4 linked regions of the Alligator mississippiensis genome follow. The protein of the gene in region 1 purifies or fractionates together with the protein of each later gene. This does not show direct contact. Links are inferred from orthologs where the notes say so. Each region holds a gene or a part of one and is shown in the gene's direction. Other genes may lie near its edges. The genes, in order: VAPB, VPS13C, PITPNM1 and PRKACA.

Region 1 (7,834 bases):
TTGTGTAATTGATACATAAATTTTGTAAATAGCCTTGAATGTATGCTCAGCTCTGGAAACTTGACCCATGCACTGCTAAATATACATGTTATTTAATTACCTGTTAAAGATACCTGACAGACTATGTTCATTTAGGCTCATAATTTATTTTACCTTTAGTAAGTAACATTGATTTTTTTTTTTTTTAAGTATATAAAGCATCTGGAGGCAAACATGGGCGAGCCCTCAAATCTGTGTGGCTTGAAGATGCTAGTTACAATGTACTCTGTAAAATAATAAACCCCCAGCATCCTTTAAAAGGTGGATCACTAAATGGTGGAGGAGGAAGGTTTTGGTTTTGTTTGTTTGTTTAAACGCACGTTGTTCGGGCAGAAGGGGGATGTTTCAAGAGGTATAAACAGTACCTTGAAGGCTTACTTGTGGTATTTCGGTTTGTATACTTTTAGGGGTGGGTGTGTGTGTGTGTGTGTGTGTGTGTGTGTGTGTGTGTGTGTGTGTGTGTATATATATATATATATATATATATATATATATATATATATTATACTTTGTCTATAATTTTAGGTCATTTGGAAGCGGCAAGTTTTACTCTGGGCTGCCCTGGGTTTTTAGTAACTGATGAAAGCCAGTATGTGCCTGCAAGTTTTTGACTGATGGCCATGGGTGTGCTCATGGACATAGGATGTCCGGCTTAAAAAAAGAACAATCTGTTCATAATAATAATAATAAATAAACCCCCAGAGGCTACAATACAAAGCAAACTCTTCAGAGCATCAACAAATTATTGTAGGAAGAACATTCCTCAAATAAGTTACCCCCTTTCTAGAACAATAAATGAAATTTCGTCTGGTTTCAAATCTGGTTAAATGTTGTACATTAATTTCTATTTTAGGGTGATACAGTAAATGAGAACACCACAAATAATCATAATGGGGCAAAATGTCCCAGATCCAAGGTAGATAAACTTAATAGAGGAATACAGCAGGAATAAAAAAAAAATCCACATTGTACTTTCGTGACTATATTTGACCATGTTTTCATTCAGATGGAGAGGGAATTTGGGGGACTGCAGCACCAAGCTATCTCAGTATGTTATGAAGGCATTGGTAGAACTCCCCTGACTTCAGTAGTAGAGAACTGTGCCCATAACCATTGTCAGTTTGTCACTTATGCTATATAATACTGAAAGCTAAATACTAAACTACAAAAAATATTCAAGATCAAAGATGTCCCAGAAAAAAATGAAAATAAAAGAATGGACAGGTTCTGAGTATCTGAAGAAAGCAGAACAAGTCAGCAGCTGAAAAGCAGAGATGAATATAGACAAGAGCAGCTGAAGTGTTGAGATGTGGTATAAATACTGCAGACATGTACTTGTGCTGACTTCCTCAGTGTTGAACATGGTAATATAACCCTCCCACTTAGCGGTGTTGATTTTTCACATGCATATCAATCATTTGCCATTGCTTTTACTGCCAAAAACTAGAACAACCCTGTCATTGCAAACTCCAGATCTTCCGAGTCCTGGATAAATCACTTGTGATTATAGACAGGAATGAAAATAAGACATGTTATACACTATCTCTTTACCTGTATAATATGCATCTGTATTTTGCACATCACATGTGGAATTTGGACTGATGTAGTAACGGTGTAGCAGTCTGAAAAAAATAGTTTCTTGTGCACTTAGTCACCTCTCTTATGCTCACTAGTTTACCTTGTTCAGACTTATTCTGACACACAAATCCCTGAGCAGTCGTTGCCATCACTATTTATTTTTTAAATCAACCCACCATGTGTTTTCTCTTCATCTTGGCAAATGTGCAATTTCTTCTCCCATGCCCAAGGCCCAGGATAAGTAAAATTCACTCTTAAAACCAGTGTGATTTTTTTTTTCCCCCCGTGTATAAAAATGCCGGTTTTTAAGACAACTATGCTGTGTATAGCTTTAGTATGTAGCCCAAACTTGGCAAATCCCTGACTGAGAAACATGTATACCAGTATTTCCCAACCAGTATGCCAAGGCACAAAAGTGTGCCGTCAGAAATGAATGGGTGTGCTGCAGAATTTTGCCATGGCAATGAGCTACAAACGGTATGAGGACAGGGAATGCCTTAACAGGTGTGCCACGGAAAAAATGTATTAACGTAAGTGTGCCTTGGGCTGGAAAAGTTGGAAAACACTGATGTATACCACAACTCAGAAATTCTTTAAGTGATATACAGGTTTCCCTTGCCAACCACCGTTTTGAGTAGCCACACTTAATATTCTATTTTAGCTACCACGGTATATGGTTTTGAGTAACCACGGTTTTCTGTGGCCACGTATCAGCCCACCACCTGTCATTTTTCCCATAAGCCTTTTGTTTTGCCAACCACGGGAACTTTCAGGAACCTAACCCCGCGATGGTGAGGGAAACCTGTATACAGAAATCCGCGGTAGTGGCTGCAATCCCTTGATTCAAAAATAATCTCTACCACAGCTCATTGATGGTTCTTGAAGTGATTGAAGGGTCCAGTACTTAAACCACAGACCTGTCCACAGAAGTTGCAGGTTTTTCCAGAGGGGAGAGTAAACCATAAGCTAGGTTTTCTTTCCTTTTCTTTCCTCTGCTCTTTTCTTTCCTGCAAGGGCAAGATACCTTACCTCAAAATGGGCTGCTGTTTGGTTGCAGTTGCGGTACCATTGGAGTCCATTGGTAGAATCATAGAAGTAGGGTGGGAAGGGACCTTGTAGATCTTCAAGTCCGACCCCCTGCCTGGGCAGGAGAGAAACTGGGTTCATGTGACCCCCGCCAAGTAGGCATCAAGCCGCTTCTTAAAGACCCCCAGGGTAGGAGCCAGCACCACTTCCCTTGGAAGTTGGTTCCAGATCCTAGCCGCCCTGACTGTGAAGTAGTTCCTACGGATGTCTAGTCTGAACCTACTCTCCAACAACTCGCGGCCATTATTTCCTGTTATCCCGGGGGCTAACATTGACAGCCGGCTCTTTGTGTTGGCATCCGTTTTCTAGAGCCATGCTTTCAATGTGTCCTTGTAGCGTTTCCTCTGGCCACCACGACATCTCAGGCCATTACAAAGCTGGGAATATATTATACAGGTTTTCCTCACGGGGATTAGATTCCTGGAAGTTCCCATGGTTGGCAAATCTGTGCTTGGTAAGACAAAAGGCTTATGGGAAAAATGGGCTGAGGGACTTGAATATGAATAATAGAGGAACATACAGTGTATAAAAATCGTTTTTATTTACCTTTAAAACAGGAGCTGTCAACTGGGGGTACACATACCCCTAGGGATACTTAGGTCAGAGGGGATACCTGTGGGTGGGTGGGGACAGAGTGTGCCCAGGGTGCGGCAACAGCATCTCCCTGGTGCAATCGCCTTTTTTTTTTTTTTAATTTTTTTTAACTACTCCAGGTATAAAGTCAGGAGGCTTAGTTATAGATAAAAGAAGAGTCTCTAAATGTGACCTAAAAATATAGGTTCTAATCCTCCAAGGGAATTTACAAAACACTTTTCACAGACAAGCCTACGAACTTCACTTCATCAACCTCTTGGATACAAAAAATCATGGACTCAATATAGACATTGGATTTATGACACATTATAACCTGCCAGACATCTGACTCCCCAGGTACCTCTCCACTATTTGCCTGCTACGTTCATCCTCCTCTCTCCCCCCCTGCAGCCTGTCTGTCACCCACTGACTCCTCAGTTTACGGTTACTGACTGCCTGTCTTGCATGCAGACTAGCCCAGCCTCTGGCTTCTTTACCACGAACGCGTGCCCTGGAGGCTGGGGCGGTACGGTGAGCTCCTGCAGGCCGCGGTGGCACTGTCAGTGGCGGCAGCAAGCAAGGAGCTCCCACAGGTGGCTGCAGCACTGTCGGCAGGGGGAGAGTGGTGAGCTCCGACCGGCAGTCGGCAACCACCTCCAGGCGCAGCCAGCGGCAATCGCGGACTGGCTGCGGACACCACCAGCAGTGTCCGCAGCGACCGTCTGCAGGCGCTGCCAGCAGTGTCAGTGGTGCCTTTTCGCAGGGGGTGCACTGCCACACTCGGGGGGTGCACATGCACCCGCGTGCACCCCCTACGCGTCACCAACGTTCAGGAGCAGCGCGCACCAACTGCAGCGCCTTCCTCAGCCCCACCAAGAGTTTTTCAACCCTTAAGCTTGCTAAGAAAATTATTTTTCCAACTGTTTAAGTTGGTCGAATAAAAGATATCCGACGCACCCAAGGAGCCTTGTCTGCCCGTGTCCGTAGACCAACACGGCTACAACCTACACCCCTGAAAATACAAACATGCTAGATAACACGGGTCCACTTTGGACGTGAAGGAGGCACGGAGGAGCCGAGCCGTGCAGGCTTGCACAACTAGGTGATTTTCAGGCTTCAAACCCCTAAAAATACAAACATCTAGCTAGCGTGGGTCCACTTGGGGTCTAGAGGAGGAGCCGAGCCCCCCCGGCTTGCAGAACTAGGAGATTGCAGGCTTCAAACCCCTAAAAATATAGCCATGCTAGATAGCACGGGTGCACTTTGGACCTGAAGGAGGCACCCCGGTTTTTTTAGGGGTACAGCCCCGCCTGTGCACGCCACGCGGGCGGGGTGCCGCAGCAGGCCCGGCCCGGGGCGCCCCCGTCAGGGGAGACGTCAGCGGCCGCCCCGCCCCGCCCCGCCGTGCTGCATCGCCCCGCCCCCGGCCCCGCCCCGTGCTGCATCGCCCCGCCCCCCCGGCCGAGCACCGCGGCGGGATAAAGCGCCGGCCCCGCCCCGCCCCGCCCCGCCGCCGTCGCTGCCGCCACCAGCAACATGGCGAAAGCGGAGCAGGTCCTGAGCCTCGACCCGCAGCACGAGCTCCGCTTCAAAGGTAAGCGGTGACCCCCATCCGCCCGCCGCCATTTTCCGGGCCCCGCGCGGACACGTCCTTCAGGGCCGCGGCCTGTGCAAATGGCCGGAGCTGGGAGGGCCCGACCCTCTCCCTCCCCTCGGGGACGTCTCGCCGCCGGGCCTGGCGGCTCCGACAGCCTCAATCCCTGCTGCCCCGGGGTCTGGGGGGGGGTTTTCTCTGAAGGAGCTGAAACGCGGGGTAGCATGTGCAGTGGGTTTCCCTGGGGGGAAAAAACCTGGTCTTAATGAGCAGCATTGCCCCCCTCCTCGCCCACCACCCTCCTTTTTCTCTTCCTCCCGTTTTTTTTTTTTTAATTTTTTAATTTAATTTTAAAACGATATACACATCTACATCTCTTTTTAAGATGAGCGCCTTGCAAACGAAGCGGAGGAAGGGCTTCGTTGTTTATAAACGCAGGTGATGGGCGGATGGACGGGTAGGTGGATGGATGGGGTGGACAGATGGATGGATGGATGGATGGATGGAGCGGGTGTGGGTGCGACGCGCCGTTCGGAGGTTTTTACACAGTCCGCCTCCCAGCCCTTTTTGCTTCAGGCGAGGGCAGCAGGAGTCCTGTAAGTTAAGGGAGCGCGGCCCGCTCGCCTTCTTCCCAGCCTCCGTCTCCTTGGCATGTCATGGTGTCTCTCTCTCTCTCTCCCCCTCGTTGCTCGCATTTATTTTTCCTGGGAGCTGCCGTTTTCAGTGTGTGGCTTCAATGATACAGGGGTGTGGGTTGTGAGGACATCGGTAGGGTGAAATAAGATCTGAAATCTTCAATAATACCCTTGTTTGTGACTGTGTTATCCTAGTCGTTGACCAGCATCTTGGAAATAACGTGATAATCTGCTCTTTTGCAGAGGGACAAAATTAATAGCTCAAAACGTTACCTGGAATGAATGTGTTGGGTTTGGGGGGGGGGTTGGGTTTTTTTTTTTTGCTGCAGGCCAAAGTATTTGCACGTTGCCACGGTAACAGTGTCAAACACATTTTCGAAGCCAACTATTGCATTATATGGTAGTAATGTTAAAAATAACTTTTGGCTTTTTATTGAGCGAGCAAAAATCCTTTCCAACAGACGTATATAAAAATGTAGGGAGCTGGGCAAAAGAATTGACCTTTAATTGGCATTGACTTGTGAATGAGATTTATTATAATTTTGAATTGGGGGGGGGGGGGTGTCTGGTTTTCTCTCGTATGTACAAACTCGATGTTTTCAAACAAGCAGCGTCTAGTCTTTATTGGAGTGAAGAAAGCTAACCAGAGGTTGACAAAATAATGGCCTTGAGGGTCAAGGGTAAACAGTCCATAGTAGCTGAAGTTGAGTCAACTAGCTGTTAGATCTCTTCCTGTCATGGCTGCAGAAGTGATGTGCTTTTTAAAAGGCAAAGTCGCTTCTGAGCTTGGATGGTCTGTGGCAAAGGACACCTACAAGAGATGTTTGGTATGCAAATAGTCACTCATTAGTAATAACTCTCTCTTACTTGTAGCCAGTTGGTTTAAATAGAATAATATATACTCATTCAGAAAAGGTGCATTTGTAATATTCAGAAAGTTGATTCTGCTCTGGGTAGGTCTCATGTGACCATGGTTTTATAAAGCAGTTGTGAATCTGCTTTTTTAAATACCACTTTTCAGAAACACTTGATACAGTTGAGGAATGGGGACCACAGGGTTCCTTTACAAAGGATTCAGTGTTTCCATAGGATTGGGGCCTTGATTTCATTATATTGTATTGGAAATGAAAGTCTGTAAATATCCCATAACTGAAATACCTCCACTTCTGGATCGAAACGTTTGTGAAGTCTGTATCTCTCAAATTTATACAACTCTGTTTAAGTGTGAGGACCAGAAAGTTAGCTTTTGCTTGAAAAAAGCTCCAGCATGCTGGGCTGAAATATAATGTTGAGAGAGGAAATATCCCCTAGTGTGTGTGCCTGCAATGGGTGCATAGCAGCTCCCACTTTTGGTAACTTTAACACCTTAACACTTTGTTTTGGGAATCTTTTTTTGAGAAATTCTAAGACTTCTTGTTTGCGACAGACCTTTTAAAATAATACAGGGCACTGTACCTTTTTTTTTTTTTTTTTATTCCAAAACATTTTGGTCAGGTTTGGAGGGGAATTTTTTTTTATCAACATTTTGACAAAGAAAGTGTTCACGTTAATCTGTTTTGGCAGAAATTCTAAAACTGGGCTCCCATCGTCACCGAAGTAGCATCAGTAGCAGATGTACGTGTTGTGCTGGGAATTCAGCTACTGGGAAGGAAAGGGGGGAAAGAGTCTTGTATGCTTGACATGGATCATAGCCCCAGCAGCACGTGGCCAAGCTGAGGCCCCTGTGGGATAGGCGTTCTAGTCCTACTCCTACGTTGGTGTCAGCCAGTGTAATCCTGTAGGTCCAATAACGAAACTTTGTGCTGAAGGTGATGGAAAAGGGGGTCACAATTATACATCACATAAATGCTTTTTTACCTTCTCCAAAAAAAAAAACTGCATCCAAACTTCCCCCTACTCCTTTGTTTAAAAAGAGCCTTTTTAGCTTAGATATCAGAATTCGATGCTTGCAGGTAGGGAAAATAATAGATGTACTGTCTTTCCAGTCCCTTGTTGCACGCATTTTGACAGTCTCTAATTTCATATTCATACTGTTTCTTAAAGCACCCTGCAGTACATGGGATGAGCTCCCAAGAGGGCAGACTTAGGATTTCTGCTGGGTTTAGATTGCCTGTGCAAAGCAGCATTAGAGAAATGATTGGCTTGTTAATGCTCCCAGTTAAAATTTGATTCGTATGCAACAGTTTGGGGGGTTAGCCAGTTTTGGTTTTAGATATGTTTTAATGTTTTTGCTTCCCTTGTGGGTTAAGGGATGCTGGGAAGGGCGAAGAGTAGAATTGGAAGTGTTATTTCAGTGAAATGGCCTGGATTGGCTAGTTCAGGTGTGATA
Region 2 (7,662 bases), on another chromosome or scaffold:
GCTGCAGCAGCATCCCAAATCCATTTTTAAACATACCCCAAAATCCATGTTTTTCCACAATTAAAACAAAAGATCACTCTATACACACACACACACCTCGAAAGAGAGTCAGTGATCAGTTGGGCAATGCTTTATTGGTATATTTACCGTGTTAAAGTAGTGTGGAAGCCTACTAGTGTCTCTATCATCATGATAAAATAAATTCTAAATACCCATGTGTTGATGTGTGCTTTTGGTTTTCTTTGCACATGATGGGTGTATGATGGGGCGATGTGGTGTTTGCAGGAAGGGGATGGGATGTGGGTTGATGTGTGGGTAGGTGTGAGGCAATTGCTGGGGGGACCTTATGGGGGGGCTGCTCAGGACGGGTGGGTCCCCTGGCCCCCACAGAGTGCAGCCCCCTACACAGCACATGGAATACCCCCCACACAGGGCCCAAGCTCCCCCCAGGAGGGCCCCAGCCCCCCTGCCCAGGGTCCCAGCTCCTTCCTGGAGGGCCACAGCCCCTCCCCCCCACACAGTGTCCCAGCTTCCCGATGGAGGGTCATAGCCCTCCCCTGCCCAGGGTCCCAGGCACCAAGAGGGCCCCAGCCCCCCCATCCAGGAGTGGGGCGCTCTGAGCCATGGCGGCAGGACCTGGAATAGCATGCAGCAACTGCATGCCAGGCCCAGCTGGGCCTTGCTGGCCCTAGGGCCTCTCTGCTGCCCGGCCAGGCCATGGTGGCAGGACCCGGTGCAGCACGCAGGGACCACATGTCAGGCCCAGCCAAGTTCCACTGGGGACTGTCTGCTACCCGGCTGGGCTGGTCACTTGGCAGCAGGACTTGCAGTGTGGGGAACATTTTTTCATTCCTGCACATGCCTCTTGCCCCACCTCAAAGGGGTTTGAGATGGGGCAAGAGGCACGTGTGTGCTCGTCTGGATGCATGCCATGAGTTTTCAATGCTCTGCTGCTAACTGTACTTGGCATTAGGTAGCTGCCTCTACTTGTGAAGACAAGTAAAAAAAATTAATACTTCAGCCTTCTCTGCATCATCCATAACTAAATTGCTTTCTGCATTCCATAAGGGACCTATGGTTTCTTAGATCTTCCTCTTACTTTTGACATACTTGTAGAATCCCTTTTTAGTGCCAATGTATAGCCCTTGCCAGTTACATGTCAAACCATGTCTTTACCTTCCTAATTTTCTTCCTGCATGCCTGTGTGATATTCTTATGCTCTTCCCTAGTATTATGAACAAATTTCCACTTTCTACTTTGTAACTGATGAACATCATAAATAGGGATGTACTCTATATGCAATTTTGCGTTCTTCACAGAAACTGTGAAAAAAAGTGTTTTACACGAACCCTGCAAAAATGGAGACTTTTGTGTGGAATCAACAGGAAAAAACTTACTAAAAATAAGATGTTGGCTTTCCAGGGGGAGCCAGCAGTCCTCAAGGCCACTGCAGCCTGGCCGGTGTTGGGGGAGCAAGAGCCACCGGCATTAAGGATACCAGCAAAGATGGTGGCTGCTCCCTTCTCCCCCAATCAGCAGTGAGGGGCACGGCTGCACGATGGGAGACCACTTTGAAAAGACCGCAAAAAATGGCACTGCGCACCATGAGCGGCTTGTGATTTTTCCCTCACCTCAGCAGGAATTAAGTAGATCCCTAATCATAAGCATCTCAGTACCTGTGTGTGGGATAGGAAAAGAAGCTTAATGTGCCCTTCCAGCAGTTAATTTTCTGTCTGACTAATTTTTTGCAAACAAACATGTATAAGACAGGATCAAACAAATAAGAACAGCACCACCAAAAGTAGCAACAAACAAAACCAGTCAACCAAAACCTCAGAATTTTACACTTTAAATAATTGCTAGCGTTTGCCTTCTAGGTTTTTAGTTGACAATTTGGAAGGCTGGGACAAATTACTTGGGGCAAATTACTTTACACAGGAAAGCTCCTGAAGTATGCAAGATCTTGTTTATGCTCTTGCTTTATCTCAGAATATTTGTTAGTACTTCTGTGATTTATTTCCTAAAAGGTTCTGCGAGTGCTAATTTGTATTGTTCACAGATGGCTTTCTGATTCAATGGTATTCAAGTTTTGCAATGATATTATAGGTAATGAGCAATTTTATGCATGTTTACTATGATTACATTGTACTCAAAGTTAGAATCTATTTTTAAATTTCTGGCAGGTTGATATTTGAACTACATATTATGGAATCTGGCATTATAAACTGAATAAGGGATAAAACCAAGAACTCATTCTGTGCCATTGCTGCTATGGTATGTGGTTCTGGATCTCACTGCAAATGTATTTTGATTTGTTTATTGCAAATACCTACACACTTTTATTTTCTATATGCATGACAATGCAGCCCTGTGTGGTATAGTTGCAAACAGCGCCCATAACAGCAGTTTTTGAGAACCAATCTGATCTTTGCAACGGATTTACCTTATATTTTGCTGTGTTTGCAATGTACTTAGATATTTTAGCTTTTCACTGGCTAGTAATATTTCCAGTTAGGAAATTATACTAACTACACTTGCAAATGCTTAGTGAATAGTAAAAATGAAACCCATCTCTTTAAAAGTGTATTTGTCTGAGGCTAACAGAATAACCAGCTACCAAATTTTTGATGGAATTGGTATCTCTTCATGTGGCTTAGGTTTGTCTTGGAGATCTATAACATACTGCTAATTCTCATGACTCTTCTAAGAGCTGGCTTTTAAAGAGAATGTGCTGTTCTATGTTTGTAAGGGCTGTTCTTTTGTGGATCATGGACCCCTTAACATTTTCAAATGACTTTGTGGAGCTTCTTTTAGTCTCCTTGAGATTTACAGTGCTCTCTACTGTGAACATAAATACTTGCTGACCTGTCATAGAAGCAATACTTCACTTTTTACTTCCTCTGCAGTGCTACTCACTCCTGGAAGAATGTTAAAGGGGTATCATTACTTCTTAATGATCTCTAATGGGTTCCTTTCCTCTGTGAGTTACTCAGATACCTTAAAGTGCTATATTTTCTACAACAATGTGATAAAAGGTCTCCTGCAGAAGAAGCTGTATAGAAAAAAAACGACTGGCTTGACTCCTGTTACATGGCAAGGCAGTGACTGCTTAACCTAGTGGTTGTTAGTACAGAAATAAATAGCTCAAGTGAAAGATGATTGTCATCTTCTTAAATTGGAAATTAACTGGTAAAAATAAAATGGACAGCTGCTGACTCATTCTTACAAAACAAGGCGGGAGAGAGAGGAAGGATAAACAAGACAATCACTCCTTTCCCTATACCAGGGGGAGCTCCATTGCTGGAGTGGTGGGCCAAAACTACTCAGCTCAGTTGGAGACAGGCTGGCCTTCTGATCTGGCTGTTGCCACCACTTCTGTCTTCTGCCCCATGTACTAAAACTGCAAAATCTTGCTCTTCTCTGGTCAGATAGAATAGCTCTGCAGGCTGGTTTTGGCCTGTAGGTTGCCAGCCCCCGCCCTATATCATAAATTACATGAAGCAATTAGTCCTGGTGTTTGTTTCCTAAACCAGCACTATGGAAGCACCTGGGAGTCACAGCCTCCAGCTGTAGCTGCTGTCACAGAAGCAGTGCATTTGAACAGAACCATGCCCTTGCCTCATCTCCTGTTCCAGAGGTAAAATGTGTGTAGCAACTTGCAGTGAAATGGGAAACAGGGGCTTTGGCACATCCCTGTTTGCACAGCAGGATAGATTTGATGATATTTTTGGTTGGGCCCACTCTACAGGGCAGTGGTGCTCAACCTATTTGCCACAGTGGGCCACACTTGCGGTCTTACCCTGTCAGGTGGGCTGCACCCACACAACTCGCTCCCAATGTATCCCTTTCAAAACCGTTTTGGCAAGCTGTCACCTGGGCAGAAGCAGTGTGCCCAGCAGCTGCACGTGGCCTTTCAGGCATGCTGCTGTCTGTCCTGCCTGTTTCCCAAAAGCAGGCACAAGGCACAACAACCCCTGCCCCCTCCTGCTGCTTCTCATCCGGCTGCGGGCCGGGGTCCCAGCCTGGCAGGCCCTGCCTCTCGGGCGGCGGGCGGGTAGGGCGCCATCATAACGGACAGTCCCGCTTTTTGCTACTCTGTCCTCTACTGAAACACAACCCAGCGCCTTCACAGCCTCCTGTTTTTCCAACAGAGAACATAAAGGCGTCGGCTTTTGTATCAGCAGAAGAAACCCGAATGTCCTGCGCGGGCCCCCCTCAGGAGCACGAGGCCGGAGCCGGCTCGCTCTCTTCGCACCGCCCCAGCTCCCGCTTGCTTGGTGCCCGCCGAGGGCGGAGCCGCGCGCGCGGAAGTGGCCCCGGCGGGTTTGGCCCCAGGCCGCGCTTGGAGGAGGGACGCGCGCAGCCCCACCCCGCGGCGCCCAGGAGCAGACAGACGCAGGGGGAAGCCCGGGAAAGCGCGGGCGCGCGGGCACGAGGCAGGCGGGGCTGTCACGCGCCCCCCGCGGTCACGTGAGGGGGCGGGGCGCGGCGGGCCGGGGCGGGGGGCGCTGCGCGTGCATTTCTGTGCGCTCCGCGCGCGCCTCGGGAGCGGGGTTTGGAGTCGCTGCCGCCATCATGGTGCTGGAGTCGGTGGTGGCGGAGCTGCTCAACCGCTTCCTGGGTGCCTACGTCGAAAATCTCAACAAGTCCCAGCTCAAGCTCGGCATCTGGGGCGGTAGGAGCTGCTCCTTCTCCCCTCCCCTTCTCTCCCCCCGCCGCGCACCTGTCGGGAGTCTTGGGAGGGGCTGCCCCCCCCTCACGGATCGGGGAGGGAGCTTCGTGGGGCTCGCCCACGCCCCCCCCCTCCCGCCCCGCACTGCGGGCGCAGAGCCCTGCCCACCGCCGGGGGGAGAAGGAGCTGCTGGAGGGTTGGCTCTGGAGCCCATGTGGTGCCCACAGCCGGAGACACGCGTGGATGGACCCTACCCCCAGGCACGTGCTGGTGCTAGCTGCCTGATTATAGTCCCTGATCCGCCTTGCACCCCCAGCATGCCTGGCTGCAGCAGTTTCGTGTCCCGTGGGCTTGCAGCTGGCCTGACCGCGCCTTCCTTGTGTCTTGCAGGCAATGTGGCGCTGGATAACCTGCAGATAAAGGAGAACGCCCTTGTAAGTGTTCCCACAGCACTGGGACTCTTAACCTTTCTAAGGGCTCCCCTTGCACCCCTGCCGCTGGGCCACGGGGCCTCCTGCTCCTCACTTGGTCACTGAGGGCTTGCTTTTAACTGCCAGTGATTGTTTCTTAAAACCTAGGGCACTGTTTGTCCTCAGGCTTGAACAGGTACAACTGCATGATGAAATGAGTCTTCCTCAGTGGGTCTAACCTCAGCCCCTCTCTCCACCCCATAGGTCAGAAACTGGAGATGGGAAGACAGTTTAACTGTGTTGCCCGTGTCCTTTCTATGTTCTTCTCCAGCTTGGCAAGAATATAAGAGCTCTTGTTGACCAGGTTGGGCTGCAGCTCCATCTTGTCCGGTCTGCTGGGCTGCTTTCCTTTCCCATGTGAGGTCCATCACTGGGCAGCGTACACTGGCTCCTTGGACTCCTATGAGGGGCGCTGGGCGCTGTCCAGGTGCTCTGCTCGGTGTCCCCCCTTTGGCATACTGTTTTTAAACCTCTGACCTCACTGCTGTCGCTGTTATGTCTAGTTGTCTCAAGCATTCAGTTGTTGCCTATCTAGTGACCTCCCTTTCTAAGGGAGGCCTATAGCATTTTCTTGTGGGCATTAGCCCAGGGTCTCCAGGCACTGGGCTTGTCACGGAGGCAGAGAATGGATACTGAAATGGAGAGTGACCTGGATATGATTAGGATCCAACCCCCCCCCCCCCCCCCCCCCCCTTCCTCTCCCACTTGTAGCCTTTAGGATTTAAGGTCTAAGAAGTTCCAGTTCAGAGTCTGTATCCCTAACTTATGTGCTCAGGAGCTACTGATGCCCCTTTCCTCCAAGAATTTGTCCAATCCCTTTTTCAATCTGGCTGAACTGTTAGCATCCACAGCCTGTGGTGGCAAAGAATTCCACATTTCAAGTAGAGGCTGTGTGAAAGCTTCCTCTGGTTTATTTTAAATTTACTACCTTTTACTTTTATTTGATGACCCCATCAAGAAGTCCATAATATTATGGATGCTCAACTCCAATCTTAGACTTGCTCTGTTTGCATATCTGATGGGTCCTTGTGTCTGTGTGGAGCCTCCTTGGCTCTAATCACAGTGGTAAGTTGTAGGCCGAGAGGTTCTCCTTTTGAGGCTGGCCTGTGCAGTAGGTGCCGGGACTGAGTGCTGCAGCTGTCACACTGTCACTGGTAGTAGTACTGGTAGGTTGGGGAAATAACAGGGAATATATTTTCTTCTTCACAACTATATAGAAAATATTTTGACCACATTTTCATTCTTTACAGTCCTTCGTTTACTTGAATAATATTGAAAGAGTTTTACTGGAATATTAGAGCTTAAATGAAGAACTCATTCTGTGCCACTGCTGCTATACTGTGTGGCAATAGATACAGTTCTGGGTCTCACTGGAAATTGATTTTGATTTGTTTATTACAAATACCTACATACTTTTACTTTCTATATATGCATGACAATGCAGCCCTGTTTGATGTAGTTGCAAACCAATCTGATCTTTACAATTGATCTACCTTTATATTTTGCCTATATTTGTAATGTATTTAGATATTTTAGCTTTTCACTGATTTACTAATATTTCCAGTTAGGAAACAACACTAACTACTAGGGCAGTGCAAAATTTTGCTGGCTGTTTGTTTCGAGACTGTTTCGACTCATTTCAAGCTTGAAACAGTGAAATCAAAATGAAACAAAGGGTTTTGAAAGAGCCTCGAAACAAAACAAGGACAATCATTTCAAGTTCTGAAGCTGGGCTTGCCTGCAGGGAAACGAAAGGTAAGGAGAGGGAGAGGGAAGAGGAGGCAAAGGACGCAGTGAGGGCATGCTTTAGCACACGCTGGAGAAGAAACACCTGCAGGAGAGGAAAGAAGAGCTCTGTCACAGTTTGGCTGCCTGAGATGCTGCTGATGCTACTGCGCTGCTGCTCACTAAGTTATTTTACCTCTTGTTATTTAAAGTGGTGGACTGAGATGAGGCTGTAGGGGAGGAGGAGACCTCATTGGGGCGCACAACTGTGTCACGTAGAGGCCCCAGCACCAGTGCGGGTGCGCACAGACACGCATCAGGAGTTTTGCTTGTCAGCACCTTGAGGTGCAGTTTCCCAGAAACCCCTGCACCTATGTCCTTGAAAGCCGGCAAGCTTTATGCCCTCAGAAGGGACTACCGTCCCTGCTGTTTTCATCCAAATCTGCTCCAAAATGACAGTTATAGGCAGTTTTGTGCTTCCCCATTATAGCCTATGGGCGAAACATTGAAACAGCTTCAAAACAGCAAACCTGTTTCGACTAAATGAAACGGAACAGTGCTTTCGAAACGAAATGAAACTTGAAACGAAGCACTGTCCTGTTGAAATGGAAGTGGAAAGGAAATGGTGCTGTTTCGCACAGTCCTACTAACTACACTTGCAAAGGTTAGTGTATAGTAAAAATCAAACCCATCTCTTAATTTGTATTTGTCTGAGGCTAATGGAATAACCAGCTACCAAATTTTTGATAGAATTGGTATCTCTTCATTTGGCTTAGGTTTGTCTTGGAGATCTAT
Region 3 (8,109 bases), on another chromosome or scaffold:
ATATATTTCCCAAAGAGGCATCTACTGGGTGTGAAAGCAACAACTCTCCTGGTTATTAGTCCTTTTACCACATCAGGGAGGACAGTCAGTAGGGATCCTATTCTTCCCGTCAGCCCTGGTTAGTTTTTTGGGACAGGTGTTTTCCTGCAGGGATGGGCAGTGCTTTTTAACAGTCTTTAAGCCCAAGGTCTCTACTCTTTGAAACCACACAAAGACCAAGCCAGGTGTTACTAGATAGGGTGACCCTACATCTGGGTTTGGTTGGGACAGTCTTGGATTTTGTAGGCTGTCTCAGCGCCCCAGCCAGCTGGTGAAAATTTAAACAAAAGTATTGAATTGGCACTGTTCTGCCTGCATGTGCCCGACCTGGCTCCTCCTGAACATAGGCTGCTCACGTTGGTGTGGGGGAGGGGCACCTCCCTGACCATGGCACCCTGGGTGGTCACCCAAGTTGCCTACCCCTAAGGCTGGCTCTGACCTGACTGTACAAATCTACAGCCCAGTGGAGTTGGGATGAGGGACCAGCTTTTGTTCAGAGTCCGGGAGAGTTCAAGCCTTCCTCAGGAGGAGGGGAAGTGGTGGAACAGGATGGGGCAGCTCTCCCTGCCCTGAGGGAAGGGGGGGGGGGCAGGGATGTCCCGCCCTGCTCTTCCTTCTCAGCCACCCAGCTGCTGGGGATGCATTTTTGGGTTGCACCGTTCCAGGCTCTGCCTTGGTACTGCAGCACCATGTGCTTCTTCCTGCAGCAGTGCTTCTGACTTGAGGGGGACACACACACACACACACACACACACACACACACACACACACACACACACACACACACACACACACACACACACACACACACACACTGTCCCAGATTTCCCAGTGTCCCATATGGTCACCCTATTCCTAGACCACATTTAAGGGTATGCTGGGTATAGGGTTACAGATCCTAATGGACACTACCACCATAATGTTTTATATAAAAGAACAAGATGTATGACCTCTCCAAACTGGTGTGCATGCCATCAGATACCCTTCTGGATAATGCATTTCCCTGCTTTAGGGATATGACAGCAGATGGCCTTAGCAGGCACACCCCTGCACAGTAAGCAGGAAATCAAAGATTTCAGGTTGTCTTTGCAGATGAGTGGATAAACAGATCGATCTCTGGGTGTTCCAGGCACCAAAAGACAGTGCTGTTTCTCTCATCCCATCTACAGGAAAAGTCTTGCATGCCTCCTCACCCATACCTTATTTTTTGAGTTCTGTACAAGGCAAGGCAGGACTCTGTGGGCTCCATTCTGGCTGAGGAAGTTAATGTGGGCCCCATTCTGGCTGAGGAAGTTAATCTGAAGCTCCCTTCTTCAGATGTTGGTGAAGTGCCCCTAAATGCTCTCACTGGTCTCAGCCCTGCTGGTCCAAAAACAAGATGCACATTCTGGATCTCTGCTCCCCATAACTCACCATGCAAATGTTGTGACACTGCAGTGCAGCTTGTCCTGTTCCCTATCACCATTCTCTTGCATAGCATGAAAGGCTTGACTTGATGAATTTACCTAGCTAAGGAGACAAGGACTGGCATTGTGCAAAAGCTTACTTGTCTTATGACATGGGTTTTCAACCTTTTTTAATCAGTGTACCCCTGGTGGCCGGACATGGGGAGGGTGTGTGGGGGGGAGGGGTGTGGTGGTGGTGGCCACGTGCAGAGCAGCAACAGCACAGGGTGGTGGGTGGTAGTGTCTGTCATTGTGTGCAAACTTCCCTCCCCTCCCTTCCCCTCCAGTGTCCAGTCAGCCAGGTGGCACCTGCACGGCCTGCAGAGGGGCACCCTGGTCCTCTCCCCCCGCCCCCGGCTCTGCTTCTGGGAGGTGGCGCTCCATCCCTGCCCACCCATGTGTACCCCCTAGGGCCTTCCCAAGTACCCCCAGTTGACAACCCCTGCCTTAAGAGATTTCTATGCCAGCCACATTAGACTATCTGCTACAGGTGATGTTTGGCTGCTGACAACTTCAGCTTAGTTGGGGTATGCCTGACATCCTGTTAGCTTCAGGAGTTCAGTCAGCTTTCTCCCACCTATGAGACATGAAGTTCTCTGTGGTCTAGCCAAGGTGTAACTGGGAATTGGCTCTGGTCCCTGTTCTGGCCAATGAACACTGGCAGGGCAGGGATGGGGAACAAGCTTACCTTGAAGAAGCTGATGGGGATGAGTGGCTGGAGGAGTGGACTGCATGCAGTCTGGGGTGAAAGAGCAGGATCCCGGTTGCACGTGGCTGCACGTGCAGGGGGAGGGAGCCCTCATTGGTCGGTGGGAGTTCTGGTGGACTAGAAGGAAGGAGCCTGCACATACAGTTAGCCCTGGAGAGGGGCATGCATGGCAGGCTGGGAGTGCTGTGCATACCGTGTAGAGATGCAGAACCAGGACTCCCAACCAAAATGCAAGAGTCCGGTGAGCTTGTCTGGGAAGACGGGGAAAGCTCGGTGCCAGACCACTGAGTGAGACGAGGCGAGTGAAAGGAAACTTGACGAGTGGAAAGGAAAGTGCTGCTCCCAGGGAGGCAGCGAATTTAGAGTGAGTGTTGTCAGACTTGGTAAACTGATGGAAGGATCCAAATACATTGATGAGAGAGAGAATGGGACCTTTAATGTAATTAATATGAAGGATAAAGATTGATAAATTCAGGGATAATTAATTGATCTTTGGTGAATCAAGGGAGGCTGATGAATTCATTGATGATTAAAATTGTTCAGCCCTGGGTCAGCTGGGACTGTGGAATTCATTGAGACTTAATTGAGGAATTAATTGATAATTAATTGATCTTTTGTGAATCAAAGGGAGGCTGGTAATTTCACTAATAATAAATCTGGGCAACTAGTGAAGGGGGGGGTGGATTTGGGGATAATCAGTTGATCTTCTGTTGTGTGAAAAAGGGGCTGTTGAATTCATTGGTAAGTAATTGGTAATGTGTGAGCCATGGGAGACAGGGAACTTTATTAATATTTGATTGCACTTCCATGGCATCAGGGAATAAAGTAGCTGGCGATCAGCCTTCTCAACTAGATTGAGAATTGATTGAGGTACCCTAAGAAAGGCTTGGGGGTGCAGACCGAGTAGCCATTGCTGATGGTGGGGTTCAAAACCCCCAAGGTAAGGCTACAAATCTGGACACCAGGCCAGGAGTTGTAAGGAGCAGGGTGTAGGGTTGGGAGGAGACCCATGAAGAGGATGACCTGCAGTCAGGTGGATCTCTCTTCTTCTCTAGACAAGTAATGTTCCTTTAATGTTCTTAACAACAAGGCATAGCAGGCAAGAAGGAAAGGAAATGGAGGTGGAGACCAGGTAGACTGGGACAAGAGGCCTTTCAGTTGGTGAGAGATCCTGTTCTCTCGGGGGGCCTGAACTTAGTTCAGCATATGGTAGCCTGCTTGCTGCCCCACCTGTCCATGGAGATACTTTCACTTCTTGCCACCAAGAAAGCTGAGATTCAAGCACTGAGGGTAGGCCCCTTGTTAATTTTTTTCATTATCCAGATATGGTCTTGAGGATTTGCCCCAGTGCTGATTGACCTGCTGGCATTTCCCCAAAGCTTTGAAGCTGTGTAGTGATGCACATGGTCAGAAAGCCACATCCTTCCACTTGCAAAGGCTTGAGCCTTTAGGAAATCTTGGTTGCTTGTTTCCCTGGCCAAAAGAATGATAAGCCTGGTGATTTTAGACTGTAGACTATACTTTTGGAGACTGGTCTACATATTATATTAAAGTGTGCTATGAGGTTGTTGCACAAGAGATACCAGGTGATTTTGATGGTTTCCCTGAGAAATCTTTATGTAAATAACATCCAACAGACAGCTACTTGGAGTGTTATATATCCCCAAGCACTGTGCCTTTGTTGAAGCAGTTCCCCAGTTTTTCAACAAGTTTTAGATTTCATAGATTTCATAGACATTAGGGGCTGGAAGGGACCTCCTGAGATCAGTGTCCAGCCCCCCTGCCATAGGCTGGAAGTCAGCTGGGATCAAGTGACCCTAGCAAGAATACAACCACATGTTTTTTGAAAAAGTCCAGAGTAGGTGCTTGCACCCCCTCTGGGGGGCATCTGTTCCAGACCCTGGACACTCGCACTGTAAAGAACTTTCTTCTTACGTCTAGTCTAAATCGGCCTTCCTGGAGTTTATGGCTGTTAGACCTTGTTATCCCTTGGTAAGCTGTGGTGAACAGCTATTCTCTTAGGTCCTGATGCCCCCCTCATATAATTGTAGGCTGCCACCAAGTACTCTCTGAGCCTTCTCTTTTCCAGACTGAAGAGTCCCAAATCCCTCAGCCTCTCCTTGTATGGCCTGCCCTCCAGGCCTTGGATCATACAAGTGTCTCTCCTCTGGACTCAAGCTTTTCCACATCCCTCCTGAAGTGGGGGCCCCCAAAAGTATAGGACTCCAAAGCCCATTTCCAGGTGAACTCTAGAAATCACCCATGCTGCAGTGTGGGACAAGCACTCAAAGGGAAAATTGAATTTAACAGCAGGGTTTTTTTGAGCTGTTGATATGCATGTTCTGTATCTTGCTCTCCATCTCTTGCTCAGTGGCTGGGAGGAAGTGGGAAGTAAGAGGCAAATGGGTGGTCTGTCACAAACACTACCTGGTTACCACCTCTTCCCCCTTGCCTGGGGCTCCCTCCAGGGACCCATGGCCCCACGTCCAACCTAGATGCTGACCAATCCCTACGTCCAGCGACCAGTAGCATTGCTGTGGGGCAGACTGGATCCCTCCTGGCGGCACTGCCCATTCATCTCCTCCCAGTCGCACAATGCTGGGGGGAAGAAGGCAAGCAGGGCTCTGGGGGTATCCTGGACGGTCACGCGTGCAGGGGGAAAGGCTGCCAGTTTGCGTCCCGACCTCTCCACCTCTGCCTGTTCATGCCCTTTCTTGGTTTGATGTCACCGGCCTCTTATGTCACAGTCGTCTCCACGGTAACCGAACGTGATGTCACAGGCAGAGGGGGGGACGACGGCGGGCTCTTAAAGGCGAACAGGTGCGGTTTGGCGGGGCGGGGAGGGGAGGCTGGGCGCCGGGTCCCGATCCTGCCCTGCCCCCCCCGAGCGGCAGCTGCACGGGCAGGGCGGGCTGAGCCGCGCGCGGGGGCGGGGCCCAGCCCGGGGGCTGCGGGAAGCGAGACCAGCTAAAAATAGGTCCCTCCCTTCCCCCGCCCCAGCCAACTCGGCCACGCCGCGCTCCTCCTCGGGATCCGGCCGGCGGGGGGAGCGGAGCAGCCGGGCCGCAGCCCCCCGAGCGATGCCAGGCGAGGCCGCGCAGCGGGGGCGGGAGCGGGCGTGCAAGGCCGGCTGGCAGCTGCCGGGGCCCAGCGCCAAGTGCTGAGCGCGCCCCGCCCCGCCCCGCCCCGCCCCGCCCCTGCAGCGCCCGGAGCATCCCCGCCGCGGCCGAGCCGGACAGGTGCGGGGGGCACGGGGCTGGAGGGGCAGCGCCCCCTCGCGGGGGCCTGCTGCCTGGGCGCTCCCACGCGGGAGGGCTTCCCGCCCTCGGGCTTGGCTGCAGGGGGCCTGTTGGCGGGGTTGGCATGGGGCAAGAGGTGCCTCCTCGGGTCCAAGGGCGCTACCCTGCTGTCCTTTGCTGGCTAGGTTCCCCTTGGGTCGCCATGCTGATCAAGGAGTACCACATCCTCCTGCCCATGAGTCTGGACGAGTACCAGGTGGCCCAGCTCTACATGATCCAGGTGAGGGGATGGTGTTTTGCGGGACGGGCAACGCATGACTTGAAGCGCTCCTTTTGGGGCCCGGGCTGGGCTCCACAGAAGGTGGGGGCGCTGTGCATGGGGTGCGGGAGGGTTGGTCCATGGGGTGGATTGGGACACGCCTGTGGGATGGGGAGGTGGGGCCGCTCTGCAGGGTTGGTCCGTGGGGCAGACTAGGATATGCCTGTGGGATGGGAGGCGGGGACGCTCTGCATGGGGTGCGGGAGGGTTGGTCCGTGGGGCGAACTGGGATATGCCTGCGGGATGGGAGGTGGGGATGCTCTGCATGGGGTGCAGGAGGGTTGGTCTGAGGCGGACTGGGATACGCCTGTGGGATGGGGAATTTGGGTCTGTGCACAGAGCACAGACTACGGGTGTCGGCAGTGGTGGCCGGTGAGCTGGGCTCGAGTGGGAGGGCAGCTCAGGACTGACACAGTGGTTTTCCCTCTGCAGAAGAAGAGCCGGGAGGAGTCGAGTGGGGAGGGCAGTGGGGTGGAGATCCTGGCCAACAGGCCCTACAGTGATGGCCCAGGGGGCAGCGGTCAGTACACCCACAAAATCTACCATGTGGGCTCTCACATTCCCAGCTGGTTTCGAGCCCTGCTGCCCAAGGCGGCACTGCAGGTGGAGGAGGAGTCCTGGAATGCCTACCCCTATACACGCACCAGGTGGGCCACGTGGGTTGCGCGTGGGCCAGGGAGAGGGTGCAAAAGAGGTGCATGTGGTGGTGGTGGAGGCAGGGGCGCCTTGGGAGTGGGGGTGCATGACTGGCGGGGGTGCGTGGGCTCTTGGATTCTGGAGGGAAGGAGTTGGTGGTGGGAAGCTACTGTCCACTGGGGCAGACTTGTTGGGTCTCCTCTTCTTCCCACTGTGTGATTGTGGGCATTCAGTCCTGGAGTCACCTCAGAGGCCTTGGCAACACTGGAGGGGGCAGGGGAGTCTAGTACAGGGCAGAGGTAGCTGAGGTCACTACTGGGGAGAGTTGGCTATCCCTGCATCACACGGCACTGCCTCCTCTCTGAGGTCCTTCCTCTCAAGCTGGCTCCCACCTTTCAGATACACCTGTCCCTTTGTGGAAAAGTTTTCCATTGAGATTGAGACTTACTACCGGCCCGATGCTGGCCAACAGACAAACATCTTCAACCTCGGTGCTGCAGAGAAGAGGCAGAGGATTCTGGGTGAGCAGTGCTGCCAGGCTTGGGGCTGTTCCTGCTGGTACCTGACCTTGTGGGCTGAGCTGCCGGTGGGCTGTCCGGTAGTGCTGGATAGAGTTCTGTGTTGAAGAATGGCTTCTCTGGTATGTCACCTCCTGGTGGGGAGGAGGGAGGGGATGCAGGACAGTGTGGATGTGGACATATGGCATGATGTGGCTTGGGGGCTACACTGCTTTTGCAGCTGAACTAATGCAAGTTCTCAGTGGAGTTCTTGCAGAACTGTGGCACCCAATTTCAGACTTGTCTCAGGAAAAAATGATATCAGGGCAGGTGTAATGTGGATATGCTCAGCACTGCAAAGAACTACAATCCCCAGAGCTTATAGCCCCTGGCTATAAAACAGTCTTGACTCATTTCCAGGTTATGTGGAATCTTTTTCAGCAGAAAAACTCTCCCCGAGTGTGGAGAGTTGTTAACTTCCTCCCTCTGAGAACCAGAATGCCTCTGCAAGTCAGGCAGTAAACATTTAGGGTATGTGTCCCTCATTCCCCACCCTCCTCAACACAATTTTGACTCTTTCCCCCACCCCTTCCTTCCCCACAAGAACATCTGTCCCCTGCCTTTGGAGTGCAAATCTGGGACTTGTGGAGACAGGGTAGATGTCCTTCCCCAGTTTGAGCTCCTCAAATCTAATTGGCAGCATTGCTGCCCACCAGGGCTAGGGAAGTGCGCTGAATGGAGTGGGGCTAATGGGAACCATTTAGTGGAGTGTGAGTAGGAGCTGAGGAGTGGGTACTCTGACCTGGAGAGATCAAGTTTGCCCCATAGTGGTGCTTAAGCTCTGTATATTCTGTGCCCAGTGTTCTGTAGTGCTGGGGAAGGGACTCTGTGGCTCCCCTTCTCCCAACCCCCTCCTCCCCCTTGGCTCTTCTACTGCAGGAAGGATCCTGGAATGCTAGTTTGTGAATTTGGGGTTCTGAGGCACTTCTGCATGAGGGCAGAGAGCAGGTCTGTCTGCAGGCTTGATGTGCACCTTCTAGTTGTGTGTTTTTTTTTTTTTTTTGTTTTTTTTTTTTCGTATTGTTCACAGAAGTATAAGTCCATTCCTCCAGCCTAAAAGGGTGCAAGGCAGTTACAGAAGGTCACTTTGCTTCTACCTGATCTGATTTTTTTTCCTTAGTTAATCCCCTGGTTGCATCCTTGACCCTAGCCAGGGAAAGCACTG
Region 4 (7,399 bases), on another chromosome or scaffold:
ACTCCTGGTTCCCTCCAATCACAGCCAGGCAGCTGCATTTGTGGGGGGGGGAGTGAGCACAGGGAGGATCATGGGAAACAGGAAGTTGGATGCTTGGCTCCTTTGTGGTTTAACCCTTTCTTGGCTGCAAGGACTAGATCAAAGGGGGACATGGAGGCCCTGGAGCCATGGGTTGGGCAGTGGTCAGGCTTAGTAGCTGATGCCTGCCTTATTCTAGCCCTGCTGAATAGACACTGGTGAGACCTGCCAGACAGAAGTATGTTGGGACAGGAAGTGGGGCTGCCTGTGTCCCAGGCTCATCTTTGGCTGTGGCAGGCCCAGGAGATCATGGGAAAGCTGCAGCTTGTTTCCCCTTTAAACCCACCTTCAGTTCAGTATGAGGGGGAATAAAAAGCATGGATGCCAGATCTCACACTGTCTCTTTAAGGGGCCTGGGGGCAGCTGTTTATTACTGGATCCTATCCATAAAATGCACTGATTGGTCACTGCCCCCTGATGAGGGGGATGGGGGTGGGGGGGAGGCTTCAGATCACCTGGGTTCTGGGGTCTTGGCACTTGTCCCCTGCAGTCTGCCTCCCAATCTGGTCCCCCTCAGTGCAGGCCCGGGGAGTGCTGCCCCAACCTCCCTGGTTCCTTCTTGCCCCTGTGGGTATCAGAGCCCAGTACCACCTGTCCTTCCACCCCCCACTCGGCACCTCTATCTGCTGGAGGGCTGTGCCTGGCTCGGCTGACCCCTCTGAGGTTTTGTACAGAGGCGCAGGGGGAGAACTGTGACTTGGGAATAACCCCTCTAGAGATCCATAGTTTGGCCCTCAGACGGGGATCACACCACCACCGTGCCTCCTGCTTGGCCTGTCTACATCTTTCCAGAGGGGTCAAATCAGGAGCTTCCCTCCCTACCTGTCGGCCAAAATCCAGATCCCTGGAGGGGTTGTGCCTGGGAGCTCCCATCCCTGCCTGCAGGCTGATCTATGGCATCTCGGAGGTGTCAGGCAGGATGGGTTCCTATTCCCACCTGCTGGCTAACCTATGGCTCCCCAGAAGGGGCAAACCAGGAGCTTCTATTCATAGCTGTTGGCCAAGCTACAGCTCCCTGGAGGGGTCATATCCAGGGGTTTCCATCACTGGCCAGTCTACGGCTCCCCAGAAGGCTCATGCTTAGGGGTTCCTGCTACCCACTGGCCAATCTGTGGTGCCCCGGAGGGGACAAATTGGGTTTCCATTCCTAGCTGTTGGCCGTGCTACAGCATCCAGGAGGGGTCGCACCCAGAGGCTCGCTTGGCACATCTACAGCTCCCCAGAGGGGTCAGATCAGGGGCTTCTCTCCCTGCCTATTGACCAAACTCAGGCTCCCCAGAGGAGCATTCCCAGGAGGCCTCTGTCCCTCCAACCCCTGTACGGCACCCTGGAGGGCTCAACCCAGCCCAGCCCTCCAGCAGCAGTAGGCTTTTGGGCCCAAATAGATTGACCCCACCAGGGCACCGTAGGCCGAGCCCCAGGGCAGCAGAAAGTGGCAAGATGGAGGCAGGCGGTGAGTGGGGGCGGAAGGGATGGGGGTCCTCCAGGGGACTCCTGGGTCCCAGAGGCCCCACCCCAGCCCCAAACAGGTTTAATTTACCGACCTCCCCCAGCAGTGGTCGTCATGGGAATGTGTGGGTGGGAGGAGCCTCCTGAAGGGGGTTGGGCTGGATACATTGTTGAGGTGATGTGGTTAATGATGGAGGTCTTGGTGTCGCTGTGTGGGGTGGGAGGCAGGGACCTCATCTGCTAGTGAGAAACTAAGGCAGGTGTGGGTGTAATGAGGCAGTTTAGCGTGGAGCAGTGATAGGCTGTTACCCTCCCTTCCAGGTGCGGGGGTCATGATGGACCTGGCATTAAGCCTGTGGGCTGGGCCCCCCAAGGGGGCTGGAAACCCCTGATTGACTCCCATCTGGCCTTGGAGGCTGAGAAGAGGCCTGGGCAGCTAGGTGTGATCGGAGACCCACAGTCAGGGTCTGTTTTGTTTTTTTACCAGGCTTCTAGGCTCTTCTGGCAGCCATGTGGGGCCAGGAAGGAATTCTTCCCCACCCCTGCTGCTTATAGGGGTTTAGGTGTTTCTCTCTTCCTTCAACAGTGTCAAGTGCTGTCTGTAGCCCAGGATGGGGGTGAACTCAGACCCAGAGGGCCTTGGTTACATCTTGTTGCAGCTCAGGCTCAGCCTGTCACTACATTGGGGTCAGGAAGGAATATTCCCCCCTGCTCAAACAGGCATGGACTGGGGGGTTCCCCTTCTGCTGCAGTCCCGCCCTCTGCTTGGGGTTTCTGGAGTGCATTGAACCCCTCTGACAGCCTCCAGACTCTTGCCAGCCCTTGGCTCCATGAGGTTGGCCAGGCTAGGGGTGCCCATCTACCCTGGACCTCTGGATTCCCTCCTGGGCCCTGGGAGCCGCTGGGGGTCTGGTGGTGCTTGGGGAGGGTGAAGGTTCTGATAGGGGAGGGGCAGTGTGGTGGGTGGGTCCATCAGGACTCCTGGGTTCCTTCCCTCTCTCCCTTTGAGACTTGCAGACTTCTGCCTGGCTTTGCCCTTCCCCACCACTGGAGCTGGGGGCACTGGTAGGGTAGAGGAGGGGGTCATTCTAGCTTGTGCCAGCTCCCAAAAGGTTAACACCTCAGCAGGCGCTGATGCCTTTAAGGGCACCTGGCGCTGTGCCTGCCCTCCTCCCCAGGCTGGTCCCTGGGGTCCCTCCCTGCAACAATACCCAGCGGTTGGCACCGCCCCAGCCTGCTTGGCCACAGGATCTGCTGCCAGGGGAGGGGTCTGGCAACAGGGGAGGGTGCTGTGATCTGTGCTGGGGGGTGGTGGAGCTGAGCCTTGGAGTGGGGGGGCACCATGGAGGCAGCCCCTGGCAAGGTCTCGCAGGCAGGCACCAGTACCGACAGTGACTTCCAGTTCTGGCTGCAGGTCGTTCTGTGGCTGCACTTGCTGGGGCGGCTGCTAGGCCACATCCTCCATGGCTCCTGCAGGGGACAGAAGCGCTAACAGCCCCTACCCGCACCCACCACCCCCCAGCTTGTGCAGGGGGACCCTGATTGCAGCCACTGGGGCCTCGAGGCTCCCCCACTGCTGCCTCCTGGCACGGAAAGGCCTCTGCTCCCGCCTGCCCTGGCTTCCACTCTCCAAGGTCAAGGAGCCTCCATGCTTCCCCCACCATGCCCCACCCCAGAGCTGGGTGCAGCCTGAGTGTGGGCAGCTCTTCACGGACCTGCTGCCCCTTTCTCTGCTGCTGGTGATTGGATTGAGCTGATCAGGAACCCCCCTACTTCTTCCCCTTGGCTTGCAACCCTAGTAGCTGCCTCCAGAGGGCACTGGGCCTGCAGGTGGGAGGGGTCTCACTGTGGGGGCTGTCCCCTCCCTGCCCCCCCTCCCCCACCCAGGGCTCCCCTGCCCCCTCCAGCTGGAGCGACTATTTGATGCCTGTGACTATTTCATGCCTGTGACGTGTCTGCTCCATGGAAGTCAAAGGAGGAGCCTCTAGCCCTGAACCTGACAGGACCCTCAAACAGCAGCTGATCCTGGACCTGGGGGGACCCCTGGAGTGGGGAGCAGCCGTGAACCCCAGCCCTCAACCTGACTGTGATCCTGACTGGAGGCCAGCAGCCCTTGATCAGCAGAAATTGATCGACTCCCAGGAAACTGACCAGACCCCAGTCCAAGGCAACCTAACTGACCTGAAACTGACCAGCCCCAGGGGGGGCAGCTGGGAGACTGACTGGACTCCAGCCCTGGACCCAGGGGACACCCCCCCCCCCCCCCAGGCTGGAAAGGAGCCAGCAGCATGAAACTGACCGAACCCTCAAGCAGCAGCTGATCCTGAAACTGACCAGACTCCAGCGGCTGTGAAACTGACTGGACTCCCCCAAGCAGATCGTGAACCTGACCAGACCCCAGCCAAGGGCAGCTGTTGAATTTGACCCCAAAACTGCCCAAATCCTGATCAAGGCAGCTCTGAGGCTGACCAGACCAGAGACCCCAGCAGTGAAACTCGCCAGCCATCCTGTGACTGACATCTTGGTGCCAAGATCTCTGCACCCAGAAGCCAGGCTTAAGGGCCCTGTGCCAGGCCAGGCCCCCAACTCCAGTGAAGCCAGGCCGGATGGACCCTGGTGTAGCTGCCAGCTGAGCCCCCAATCCTTTGTGTCAAGGTGTGTGGGGGGGGAGGGGGCAGTCCAGGAATGGCTGCGGCTACCAACATTTCAGTGGCCATTGATCCAGCATGAGCCACGGGCCAGAGGTAGCTGGCCCCAGCCCCACCCCCAGCAAGGCCAAGGGGGGCAAGATGTCGGCACTGCAGAGGCTGGAGAGCCTGGCCGGGCGCATCTTCTCCTGGGGTCCACGGGGGGACCCTGGGGATCCTGAAAGCACAGGGAGGGTTCCTGAGACAGAGCATGCAGCCGCCTGGAACCAGCAGAGTGAGTGGGGCTTGTGGATGGGGCAGATGGGGGGACAGTGGGGGGTAAATCAGAATGATGGAGGAGGGGTCAGGGGGATGACCCTCTCCTGCCATGTTGTTGCCCCATCAGCTTGGACCCATCAAGAGCATCATCACCAGTGCCCCCCCACTTGCTGCACATAGTGGGAAACTGAGGCAGGCTGCTGGCAAACGGGCCCAGAGTGGGGTTGGGGAACACAGGAGTCCTGGCTGTCAGCTGGGCTGGCTGGGCTGATGTGTTAGAGGTAAAGATGGGACCTGGGAGCCAGGATACCTGGGTTTTCTCCCTGGCAGTTAAAGGGACTGGGGGGTTAGTGGTTAGAGCAAGAGAGGGGGCTGGGAGGCCAGACACCTGGGCTTTCTCCCAGTTGCCGGGAGATCAATGAGATCTAGTTTAGGGCAATCGGGATGGAAGCCCCGACACCTGAGTTCTCTTCCAGCTCTGGGGGAGGGGAGGTGGGAAGGGGAGTGCAGGGGCACTGGATACTCAAGGCTGTGACAGTGGCCCCTGACATGGGCACCCAGGCAAAAATAGCAGTGCCAGGCACCTGCCAGTGTTGTGCAGGCCCTTTTAAACCCCCTGCCTGCCCTTCCCTCCCACCCCCCCAAGCCATAGGGGGCTTTGGGTGGGAAGGAGAGTTTTGGTGGCTTTGGAACCCATCCAGGCTGGGAGCTGGGATGCCTGGCTTCTCTTCCCAGCTGGTGAAGTGAGTGGGGTTGGGATAGTGGATAGAGCAGGGGGAGGTTGGGAGCCCAGACCCCTGGGTTCTCTTGGCTGTGGGAGGGTTGTCTGGGTACTTTGGAATGGGGGTGGCTCCCGCCTCATCGCCCATTGAACAGGTCCCTCTGGCTGTGGCTTATCGATTGGGGGAGAGGGGGGCTGCTTCTTTCCAGGCCCAAGGCCATGGTGTCTGTCCTTCACTGTCCATGGCTGGGGCTGGCATAGGGAATGGAAACTCGGGGATGGGGGGGAGGTGGATCCTGCCAGGCTAAGGCCTGGGACTGGGCAGATCCGGATCTGCTTCTCCCCCAGCACCAGCTGCATTTGGTGCTAGTCCAGCATCTGTTACTGTTGGCTAGTTCTCCCTTGCCCTGCTGCCCCCAGAATCAGTCTCTCTTCAGTCCCCAGTGAGCCATAGCTTCTCCAGGGTTTGTTGCTATCAGCCATTCAGCACTGCCCTTCACCCCACAGCCAGCTTCATGTGGCAGTGAGCAAGCACCAGGTCCCTAAGCCACGTTGCTGGTGGCTGTTCCTCCTGCCCTGCTCCCCCCCAGAACCAGCTTCATCTCAGCCCTGAGTGAGTGATTGGTTCTCTGGGCACTAGTACTGTTTACCCTTCACCCCCTCCCTTGTTTCCTTCCAAAACCAGCTGCATTTTGGCTGTGAGCAAGGATGGGTCTTCAGGTTGCCAGACTCTTGCTGCTTCTTCCCCAGAGCCAGCTGCATTTCAGCCCCAAGCAAGCTATGGCTTGTCCAAGGCATGTTGTTGGCCAGTCACCTCCTTCCCCTGTTTCCACCTCAGAACCAGCTTCATTTGGCTGTGAACAGGTGGCTATCTCTCTGGGTCGTGTTGCTATTAGCCATTTACCTCCTTCCCCAGAACCAGCTGCATTTTGGTGCTAGCTGAGTGGTTGTGTCTGTGGGTCCCCTTGCTGCTGGATGGTTCCCCCCTGCCCTGTATCGTCTCAGAACCAGCTGCATTTCAGCTCCCGGCAGGTCGCAGGTCGTGTTGCTCTTGGCCTTTCATCCTATGATGCTGCTCCATCTTGGAACTAGCTGCATCTTAATGCTATTCTGCTCCAGTGCTGGTTCTCCAGGTCATGTTGCTGTTGGCAGTTCATCCTCTGCCCTGTTTCCCCCCAGCACCAGCTGTATTTTTGTGCCATTGGAGCAGTCTTTCACTGGGTGAACTGGTTGCTTGCTCTTTGTTGCTGCCCTGTTCCTCCTCGCCCCCCCCCCCCCCCCCCAGCACCAGCTGCATTTTGGTGCCATTCCAGTGATGGTTCACCAGGTCATGTTGCTGTTGGCTGATGCCCCCCTTCTCCCAATACCCACCCCCCAGAAGGAGCTGTGTTTTGGCACCAAGCAAATGGCTGGCTTTCTCTATGGCTTGCATTGCTATTGGCCCCATTTGCCCCCCAAACCAGCTGCATCTGGGGGTGTGGTGTGGTGGGGGCAGTAACCTGACTGCTATCCCAGGGGTGGCTGCACTGATCCCTATGTTGGGGGGGACAGGTGTGGTCTTCAGAAGGCTTGGGTGAGGGGGTGGTTTTGGCGCTGCCTGGCTCTCTTGGAGCTGATTGTGGGGAACCACCACTGAGTCTAGCTGGTGTGGGGTGGGAGGGGGAATAGCATGGGGCCATTGGGGGTGATAATAGGTACTTCAAGCTGGTCCCTCTTGGAGGGTGGGGGGGCAGGCTGTCTGATTGCCTTGAACCTAGCCCCTATCACACACCAACCCTCCCAGAGGTGGGAACCTGAACTCCTGGGCTCATTCTTTGGTTTGTTGTCCTGATCGATTGGGCAGGTGGCAGGCCTGGAGACCTGGGTTCTGTCCCTAGCACTGGGAGGGGCCCTACTGGGTAATGATTGAAGCAGGGTAGGGCTGGGAACCTGGACACCTGGGTTTCCTGCCCATCTCTGGGAGCAGGCCCTGAGGTCGAGAGGGGAGGCGGTTGAGGTAGGAACCCAGGTATCTGGGCTCCCACCTCTGGGAGGGATGGCATAGAGAAGGGAGGGGTTTTGGAGCCCGGACACCTGGATTCTCTCCCCTTCTCAGGTAAAGCAGGCAGGTCCACTACCAGCAATACCCAGGAGTATAGGGGGGCGGGGATCCCCAGGGGACAATTGGCAGCTGCAGGGTTTCTAGTCTCACCCCCTCCCCACCCCAGGCTGGCTCAGGGCCCTGTGGCTTTTGGGAGGGCAGGGT

Evidence for each region.
Region 2: the proteins of VAPB (region 1) and VPS13C purify together in Homo sapiens (co-immunoprecipitation; 3 studies listed by BioGRID and IntAct, counting the BioPlex papers as one, with this or other methods). This does not show direct contact. The link is inferred for Alligator mississippiensis from reciprocal best matches to the Homo sapiens genes VAPB and VPS13C.
Region 3: the proteins of VAPB (region 1) and PITPNM1 purify together in Homo sapiens (affinity purification with mass spectrometry; 5 studies listed by BioGRID and IntAct, counting the BioPlex papers as one, with this or other methods). This does not show direct contact. The link is inferred for Alligator mississippiensis from reciprocal best matches to the Homo sapiens genes VAPB and PITPNM1.
Region 4: the proteins of VAPB (region 1) and PRKACA purify together in Homo sapiens (affinity purification with mass spectrometry; 4 studies listed by BioGRID and IntAct, with this or other methods). This does not show direct contact. The link is inferred for Alligator mississippiensis from reciprocal best matches to the Homo sapiens genes VAPB and PRKACA.

The regions. Positions count from the first base shown.
Region 1 is NC_081832.1:8,560,846-8,568,679, reverse strand, and holds the start of VAPB (vesicle-associated membrane protein-associated protein B/C), read left to right. Parts: upstream 1-4,759; 5' UTR 4,760-4,812; coding exon 4,813-4,870; intron 4,871-5,296; exon of another isoform or gene 5,297-5,311; coding exon of another isoform or gene 5,312-5,327; intron 5,328-7,834. UniProt on the Homo sapiens protein: Endoplasmic reticulum (ER)-anchored protein that mediates the formation of contact sites between the ER and endosomes via interaction with FFAT motif-containing proteins such as STARD3 or WDR44.
Region 2 is NC_081834.1:32,718,425-32,726,086, forward strand, and holds the start of VPS13C (intermembrane lipid transfer protein VPS13C), read left to right. Parts: upstream 1-4,530; 5' UTR 4,531-4,575; coding exon 4,576-4,675; intron 4,676-5,062; coding exon 5,063-5,106; intron 5,107-7,662. UniProt on the Homo sapiens protein: Mediates the transfer of lipids between membranes at organelle contact sites. Necessary for proper mitochondrial function and maintenance of mitochondrial transmembrane potential.
Region 3 is NC_081825.1:170,460,847-170,468,955, reverse strand, and holds the start of PITPNM1 (membrane-associated phosphatidylinositol transfer protein 1), read left to right. Parts: upstream 1-5,013; intron 5,014-5,127; exon of another isoform or gene 5,128-5,432; intron 5,433-5,617; coding exon of another isoform or gene 5,618-5,634; coding exon 5,635-5,712; intron 5,713-6,183; coding exon 6,184-6,398; intron 6,399-6,786; coding exon 6,787-6,908; intron 6,909-8,109. UniProt on the Homo sapiens protein: Catalyzes the transfer of phosphatidylinositol (PI) between membranes. Binds PI, phosphatidylcholine (PC) and phosphatidic acid (PA) with the binding affinity order of PI > PA > PC. Regulates RHOA activity, and plays a role in cytoskeleton remodeling.
Region 4 is NC_081831.1:24,686,252-24,693,650, forward strand, and holds the start of PRKACA (cAMP-dependent protein kinase catalytic subunit alpha), read left to right. Parts: upstream 1-4,255; 5' UTR 4,256-4,316; coding exon 4,317-4,449; intron 4,450-7,399.